Linked DNA regions of Cricetulus griseus. The protein of the gene in region 2 binds, or shares a complex with, the protein of the main gene of each other region. Links are inferred from orthologs where the notes say so. Each region holds a gene or a part of one and is shown on either strand. Other genes may lie near its edges.

Region 1 (4,424 bases), on a different chromosome or scaffold from region 2:
ATGCCACTACTTCCTGTCTTTCAATTCTCCCCTTTCTCTGTGCTCCCACTTCTCAAATGCTTTTACTTTACTAGAATGCCCTCCAGCTGTCATCCAGGCCCAGCTCAGGTCTACTAATCTGTACAAAGCAGCCAGTGCTCTGGTCTCCCAGCTTTGGAAAGAGCTCAAGAGCCTCCTGGGAAGACGAGACTTCCGCTGTCTCAACTCTGTGACTCCTGCCCCAGAGGCAGGTGTCCAGAACCACAGAGGGCTTCTCCTCCTGCCGCCCTCTCATAAGCTGGGACTTGCCCAGAGCTTTCTCTTTAAAATTTTGTTTCATTTTTAAATTTAAAATTTCTCAACAGTGGTACATTTTAGAACTATTACATAAACTGAAAACAAGTTTTTCAGTTTTCAAATTCCTGGCACGTTATCTTTTTGAGATTCAGGGATAAAAGGTTAGTATTCCCAAGTAGGCTCAGAAATGTCAAAATTATGGTATTTAGAACATAACTTTATGCTCTATAATCTGAGTAGCTGAAGTTCTGTTTAAAGGATAAAGGACGCTGAGTTTAGCAGTGCTTACAAAGAACTATAACTTATAGGTATATTCACTGAAAACAATTTAGAAATCAGGTCTTACAGTGAAACATAAAATTAGAAACTCAGGTCCGAATCCTTTGGGAAGCACACGTGGACACTGTCCACCTAAGGGCTCATTTCACATGGAAGATGTGTTACACCTTAACAGGGCCTTCCACAGCTTTTCTGGGACTCCTCCATAACCTTTTCAAATAGTTACGCCTCTGTGTTTCCATAGGACACCCTGCTAGCAGAACAGTCATCACATCTCCGTTTCAGGGACTCTGTTTCCATCTTGAGTTTAAGGTTACAACAGTGTTCCTTTGACTAATTTTGAATTCGAAGTACCTAATGGTTTTATGGTACATGAAAATCACTAATGATTTCATTTAGCCAGGCAAAAATCTTTTACAAATTACTGTCAACCTAAGAAAAGTCCAAGTTCCTACCAAGCACACATTGCTTCATTTGTTTTTCCATCAACAACTCAACTGTTCTGTAGCAGTGGGAGCACTGAGCAGGATCCAGTCTGACAAGAGAATCCACAGATTACAGCTGCCTTCCTATGATATATGGGGTGAAACATAAACCTTGATAGACATTTATTCCTCTAGTTAAACAGCTCCAGAGACTGGAAATTAGATAGTATACCCCAAGTATTTGTTAAGTGGCAAGTCACTGATACAAACATTTTTTGTTTGTTATAGAAGTTCACAGTAGGGCAGTTACAGAATGTTAACACACTGAGAGGTTAAAAATAGAGGGAAGTTAGGATTACAGTTGTAGAACTGAAATAAAATGGTGGAGAGCAGGGAAGAGACTTGTGGAGGAGAAAATGCCAGTGTGTTTTGATGAACAACAATGTAGCAACTCCTAAGTCTTTGTAAAGTGCTATACTGCCTAAGAAATTTATGGTGGGGTGGTATGGTTTTCATATCTAGTATATGGTGACTGAGAGCTGCTGTACCTGAGGTGTGTCAGCCATTAGCTGCTTTCTGTAATAATTTCATTCACACAAAAACTGTCTGCTAAAGTCCCCAAAAGAACTAGATCTTTGGTGATTTGTCCCAAGACAGCTAATAATTGCTGAAGTCTGACTATATATCCTGTTCTCTTTGCAGCACTCGAATGGTCTTCCATGGTACGAAAACTGCTCCAAGATCACCAGTAAGAAATGGTGTGGAAGGCCAGTGTTTAAAAGCTGTCACTAAGGCAGAGTGCAAGCAAGTCTGACAGGACCAGCAGTCCCCAGAGACAGAAATGTATTCAACAATCTTCAGTGCCTTTCAGTTTTACAAACCACCTTAACATAAACTATCTGTAACACAGGCAAAGGAAAGATTACTCTTCATTTTAAGGTTGCTTGTAAACAGGTAATACCATTGCTTGCATGCAAATGGAAAAGTAAGAGTGAAGTGGGGTAGATACTTGAACCCGAGCATATACAGGTTTCATTCCACAAGAAACTAGTATCAAAGAGGTTCTTGCCACTGAGCATCTGTCTTAAAAGTTCGGGATTAAAAGAAAGTATTAAATATCCGGAATAGGTTCTGAACAAACCTGGTTTACTTGTTCAATTGGGGGAAGCTTTGACATATCCTCTTCCCTTACAAGGGTGGTGGGTACGTGTTTGTGTGTTGGTTAGTCAGTGGATATGAGGGTAAATGTGGATACTGTGCTTACAAGAGTCAAGAGCTTTGCACTTCTTGCTGGCTTTTGAACTCATTTTTTGGGAACATGCACTCTCCGTACTTCGCTGGTAGGAGTATAAAATAACATGTAGATCAACTACCACAAACTACTCAATAGCTCATACCTACTCTTTGGACATTTCTGTCGCTCAACAGCGATTCGGCAGGATTCAAGACACTTGGGAAGGCAAGCCACATCGAGAAGATGCAAAAGAGCAACAGGTTAAGACTTCAGTGGTGATGTAGCGAGAGGAAATAGTGAAAACAGGAGGGAGATGACGAGAAGAAAACACTCATTTCTCCAGCACTCACCCAGCAGGGTTCCGATAACCCGGGCAGCTCCCTCGTTGCGTCTCTCGTAGCTGTCTACGATGGAAGCCAAAATGACCGGGTGCAGCCTGACCACGCGGCCGCCGGGGAAAGGCCCCGGCAGGGCGGGCCCGGGCTGCGAGGGTGCCGGCGTCTGCGCAGGGGCTGGGGCAGAGGCCGGGGTCTGGCCCGCAGCGGCAGGCGTAGCTGCCGCAGGGTCGGAGGACGAGGCGGGCGCCGGGGCCGCAGCGGGAGTCGCAGCCGGCGCCGGAGCTGGCGTGGGCGCTGCCGGGGCTGAAGCCGGGGCTGCGTTGGTGGCCGGCGCCGGGGCCGCGGTCACAGCGGCGGGAGGGACACTTGCCGGTACGGCCGGGGATGCCATGTTGCCGAGAAAGAGGGAACCTAGAACGGAAGGGCGTGAGTTAGGAAGTATTAGGAACTTGGTTGGTTGAATTTGTACCACGTGAATCAGCTCTTGCTGACTATTGGGCACTAACATTTCCGGCTGGTTGTAAGTTTTAGTGAGCCGTGTGCGTTTTAATGGCCGTCCATGCGCACTCAGTGAGGAGCAGGCCAAAGTAGTTCCTAGTGACTCTGGGACCGCCTGAGGGTGGGGTGGGGTGGGGTGGGGGTGGGCAGAGAGAAACAAATAGCAATCTACTCAGTTGCCACCAGATGGCGGCACAGAATAGTGTAAAGGTCGCATTTTTTTTTTTTTTTAAAGATTTATTTATTATGTATACAACATTCTGCCTCCATATATGGCTGCATGCCAGAAGAGGGCACTAGATCTCATTACAGATGGTTGTGAGCCACCATGTGGTTGCTGGGAATTGAACTCAGGACCTCTGGAAGAGCAGTCAGTGCTCCAAGCCATCTCTCCAGCCGCCCCCCCCCGCCCCCCGCAATTCTTTTTTTAGACTTAAATTGGATATTAAATGTCAAAGGGGCTTTTAAAGGGCCTCTCTCCCTCCCCCCTCCTCCCTCCCTGCCTCCTCCTTCCTCTCCCCCTTCCCTCCTCCCTCCCTCCCTCCCTGCCACCTTCCCTCCCTCCCTCTCTCTCTCTCTCTCTCTTTCCTTTTTCTTTCCTTCTCTCCTCTCCCTCCATCCCTCCGACCCTCCCTCTTTATTTCCTTCCTTTGCTTATTTTTGAAGTCAGGGTGTGTGTGTGTGTGTGTGTGTGTGTGTGTGTGTGTGTGTGTGTATACTCATGAGTGCATATGACGGCCAGGCATTGGATGTCCTGCTCTATCACTCTATCACTATTCCCTTGAGACCTCATCCCTCACTGAACCTGGAGCTAGGCTGGTAACCCTAGCAAGCCCTAGTGATCCTTCTGTTTCACTGCCCACAATGCTGGGGTTACAGGCTCCAGTGTTACCACACCTGGCTTTTTATGTGGGTGCTGGGGATTCTACCTGAGGTCCTTATGCTTGCACGACATGTGTTCTTACCCACTGAGCCATCTCTCCAGCCCCTTTAAGGTCTTTTCTTATTGGCATAAATTCTTCATACTTGGACAGTATTTACTTCCACCTATTCCCTCCCTTTACTCCTCCCCCCAATTATTCTTCCTGTTTGTCTTTTTCCTCACCCAATCTTCTTTCTGCATATATATATTTCTAGGGGCTGGAGAGATACCTCAGAAGTTAAGAGCACTGGCTATTCTTCCAGAGGTCCTGAGTTCAATTCCCAGCAAACACATGGTGGCTCACAACCATTTATAATGAAATCTGGGGCCCTCTTCTGGCCTGCAGGCAGAACACCGTATACATAATAAATAAATAAATCTTTAAGAAAAATTCTAGGATGCACAGTGAGGGAAACTGTGGTCTATATACACAGTAAGAGGAAACTCTTCTT
Region 2 (4,305 bases):
GGGGTTGGAGGGACCAGAAAAAAATGGCTCAGGAGTTAAGATCACTTGTGTACTTGCTACTCTTTTAGAGGACCTAGGTTAGAGCCTCAGCACCTACATGGTGGCAGATATGCTGCACAGATGGAGCACAGACACACACACACAGGAAAAATACTCATATAAGTAAGACTAAAGCTTTTCAAAAGAAGGAGCTGGGCAGTGGGGACACACGCCTTTAGTCCCAGCACTCAGGAGGCAGAGAGACAGGTGATCTCTGTGAGTTTGAGGCCAGCCTGGTCTCCAGAGCGAGTTCCAGGACAGAATCCAAAGCAATACAGAGAAATCCTGTCTTGAAAAAACAAACAAATAAATAAGAGAGTTTAAAGAGTGATTGAAGAAGATACCTGACGCTGACATTGGGCCAGTATACAATACAGATTCATTACATGCATGCACGCGCACACACAAAATGACTAAGCCCATGTTCTCCTGGAAGCCATCTAAAGCATCTCCCAGTTCAGCCCAAAGGGCCTTCATCTCTCTCTTACCTCAGAGTGTCCTGACCTTCAATCCAGAACTTAAAATGTGTCCCGTTTCCCCAACTAATGAGTTACCTGGGAGTAGGGAACCTTACTCTCCAGAGCACCAAAACATGTCAACCTCACGGTCAGCATCTCGAAGGCTGGCCGACCCACAGCAAAAAGGATACAGTCAGCATCAACACACCACACAGCTCCACCATGGCCAATGTAGGTGCCCAGCCTCTCGCCATTCACAGAGTACCACACATTGACGGTCTGGAAGAGTAAAATGAACAGGATGGGTCACACCCCAGAAAAGGCAATAGCTTATCTGGTCCTACGAATCCTCTGTAGACTCCAGCCAAGCCAAGTCTGCCTTCTGCTCACTTATTAGAGGAGAGCTGATAAAAGAAGACCAGCTCCTGGTTTTCCTCTCTTCCTAAAGGGAAGCAGTATTGACACTAGGCCTGCAATAGCATCCTCACTATCTACTTCTGTCTGGACTCATCATCTCTCTGAACAATCAAAGGCCAAGATGAGTTCTAGTCTAAAAAAAAAAGAAAAAAACTTTGGTGTCCTGAACAATCGGGACAGATGACAGTGAGGATGTATGGGCTCTAGTGCTCCTTTGTCACTTACTATGATTTTAAATTCAGTGCTTCTTCCCTCTGAACTTTTAGCTTTGTCTTTTTCTGTTGGTTTGTTTGTTTGAATCCTATGTAGCCCTAGCTGTCCTGGAACTCACTCTGTAGACAAGGCTGTCCTCATAGACCCACCTGCCTCTGCTGCCACGTGTTGGGATTAAAGGCGTGTGCCACCACTGCTCAGCTAACTTTGTCATCTTTAAAAGGGCTAGAGAGCTGGCTCGTCCTGATGACTTGGGTTTGATTCCCAGCACCCAGACGACAGTTCACAGCCATCTGTAACTCCAGTACCAGGGATCTGATGCTCTCGTCTGGCCTTCTCAGGCAGGAGCATATACACTGCAAATATAAACTGCAGGGAAAACACCCATACTCATAAAATAAACAAACTCTTTACACATAAATATACATATTTTAAAGGGTAAAGACAAGCCATGTGGCCAGGCGTTGGTGGCACACGCCTTTAATCCCAGCACTCGGGAGGTAAAGGCAGGTGGATTTCTGTGAGTTCGAGACCAGCCTGGTCTACAAGAGCTAGTTCCAGGACAGCCTCCAAAGCCACAGAGAAACCCTGTCTCGAAAATAAAACAAACAAAAAAACAAAAAACAAACAAAAAAAGAAACCCTGTCTCAAAAACAAAAAAAAAAAAAAAACAAAAACAACAACAACAAAAAAAGACAAGCTGTGTGTGTGTTTGTGTGTGTGGTAACACACACCTATATTCCTAGGACTGGGAGGCTGACACAGGAGGATGGAGAGGCACAGACCAGCTCAGAAAGATACCCCATCCTTGACAACAGCTTTCTTTAAAGGGCAGCTGTGAAGCTCCAATAAAAATGGCTAAGAAACATAAAATGTAAGTGACTAACATACACCAGGTACAGTGAAAACCTATTTACAAGAATGACCTCAATTTGTTGAGGGAGGTAAAGTTCCCTGTTTTATTAAAAGGGAAAATAGTAACTTAGAAAGGCTAAATGTCTTGTTCAATGTCTCACTGCTGGCAGGTGCAGGAGTTAGGACTCACATAAAACTCTGACTTCAGACTACCCAATGTTAACCATCAGTTAACTGTCTCCATGTGCAAATGCCTCAAAAGGCAGTACCAAAGAGTGCTGCCCGGAGATTCAACATGGGACTGAATAGACAAGCCTAGGAACAGGCCTTTTCCTCCTTTTTTGGTGCTGGGGATCCAACCCAGGGCTACAACCCCAAGACCCCCATCATGACACATGGGTCAACTTTATCCTCCAGACTCTAGAGGTTGTCCGTTCTGGTTCTTCACATCCTCGAGTCATTAGAGCACATCCTCTCCCAGTCCCCAGTCTCCCTACCACACAGTTTTATTTTTCTTCTCCGTGGGTACGCTTTCCTATCAACCATCAACTTATCTTAGGTCTCTCAAGCAGAATCCGTTTCGCTACCCTACCCGGCCCGGCAAGTGTGGTTTTCTCTGCTTTTCAGAGGAATTAATTCCCCTCCGGCGGTAAAGCTGGTGCACCCACTGTCTGGATGGTGCAAACTCGCCCCTCCGGGTGCCCCACCCCGCCCCGCCCGCCCGCCGGCCCCGGGTCGCGCGGCCGCTCACAGGGTCTTTGGCCACGGTGAAGAGGAGGTCTCCTTCGCGGTTGTACTTGATCTGCGTGATGGACCGCTCATGGCCCTGCAGCAGGATAGGCTTCTGTGGGGACAGAACGGGAGTGTCAGTGCCGGGAACCCCGTCCCATGCCGATTGGGACCCCAAGACGGCAGCACCACATGCATGGAACTCACCATCCCGGCGGTGACGCGAGCAGAGAGGCAATGTGAGTGGGACCGGAAGAGGACTAGGGGCAACTTCCGGATGCTGGGACTCCGCCCCCTGGATCCCGGAAGTAGAAGGTCCTCGCGTTGCCATGGCGGCGTCTCTGGGTGGGTAACCGGCCCCGCCCCTCCGTGGGCACCGACTCCGGCTGGGGGTGCTCGCTCACTCCACCGGCACCCCTGAGCCCCGGGCCTGCTCGGCCCCCTTCGGTGCGGGAGGGAGATGGAGACGGTCCGCCGGGCCGGAGGAGGCCGGGGAGCGCCTGGGTGACTCTGCTCCTCTGCTTTCAGGGCAGGTCCTTGCTCTGGTGCTGGTGGCCGCCCTGTGGGGTGGCACGCAGCCGCTCTTGAAGCGGGCCTCCGCCGGCCTGCAGCAAGTGCGGGAGCAGACGTGGGCCCGGCAGCTGTTGCAGGAGATGAAGACTCTCTTCTTGAATACCGAGGTGGGTCTGTGGACTGCTGCTCCCTCGGACGAGCCGCAGAGCCAGAACCCCAGCCCACCTCCTACTCGTTCGCAGCTTCGGCATTATCCTTGCTAAAATGGAAACTATATGATAACCTAAGTGAGGGAACGGGCGGTGGTGGCACACGCTTTGAATCCCAACACCCAGGAGGCAAAGAAAGGCGACCTCTGTGAGTTCGTGGCCAGCCTTCTACAGAGCAATTCCCAGACAGCCGAGGCTACACAGAGACCCTGTCTCGAAAAACAAAGCAAGGGGCTGGAGAGATGGCTCAGCGGTTAAGAGCACTGGCTGTTCTTCCAGAGGACCTGGGATCAATTCCCAGCACCCTCAAGGCAGAGCACAGATGTCTGTAATTCCAGTTCCAGGGGCAAAACTGTACTTACTACTATGAAGTAGTATACGTAGCAATGAAATGGTTGGGGGTGGGGGTCACCAGGACATGAGGAATTGTATTAAAGGTCCCAGGATTGGGAAAGCTGAGAACGACTGTGTTAGAAGGTCAGATAAGACTGTTGGGTGAGCAGGAAATTGCTGACAGATTTCTCCTCTTTCCAGTACCTGATGCCCTTTCTCCTCAACCAAAGTGGCTCCCTTGTCTACTACTTGACCTTGGCATCAACAGGTGGGCCTCTGGCTTGGACCTCCTCTGGGTCCGTATTTTGCCAACCTTACACCTGTCAGTGAGGGAGAATACCTGTTTGGGCCCTTGGGCTCACGGGTAGTAGGGTGGTTATGAGTGTGTGGCCAGACACTAGGGCTGGTCTGACAGCCTCGTGCAGTAGCAGAACAGGGAAAGTTCATTTTGCCATAAGTGCTGACTTGTTTTATTTATGTTGGGGGGTGTGTTTGTGTGTGTGTGTGTGTGTGTGTGTGTGTGTGTGATAATTTTTCTT

The links.
Region 1: Eif3i (region 2) and Eif3f share a complex: the UniProt entries of both Homo sapiens proteins name them as parts of the eukaryotic translation initiation factor 3 (eIF-3) complex. The link is inferred for Cricetulus griseus from reciprocal best matches to the Homo sapiens genes EIF3I and EIF3F.

The regions. Positions count from the first base shown.
Region 1 is NC_048596.1:91,829,373-91,833,796, forward strand, and holds the start of Eif3f (eukaryotic translation initiation factor 3 subunit F), read right to left. Parts: upstream 2,972-4,424; 5' UTR 2,944-2,971; coding exon 2,565-2,943; intron 1-2,564. UniProt on the Homo sapiens protein: Component of the eukaryotic translation initiation factor 3 (eIF-3) complex, which is required for several steps in the initiation of protein synthesis.
Region 2 is NC_048595.1:23,434,110-23,438,414, reverse strand, and holds the start of Eif3i (eukaryotic translation initiation factor 3 subunit I), read right to left. Parts: upstream 3,041-4,305; 5' UTR 2,922-3,040; coding exon 2,919-2,921; intron 2,827-2,918; coding exon 2,734-2,826; intron 777-2,733; coding exon 689-776; intron 1-688. Other genes in the region: Tmem234 (transmembrane protein 234), read left to right, coding at 3,041-3,056, 3,240-3,391, 3,968-4,034. UniProt on the Homo sapiens protein: Component of the eukaryotic translation initiation factor 3 (eIF-3) complex, which is required for several steps in the initiation of protein synthesis.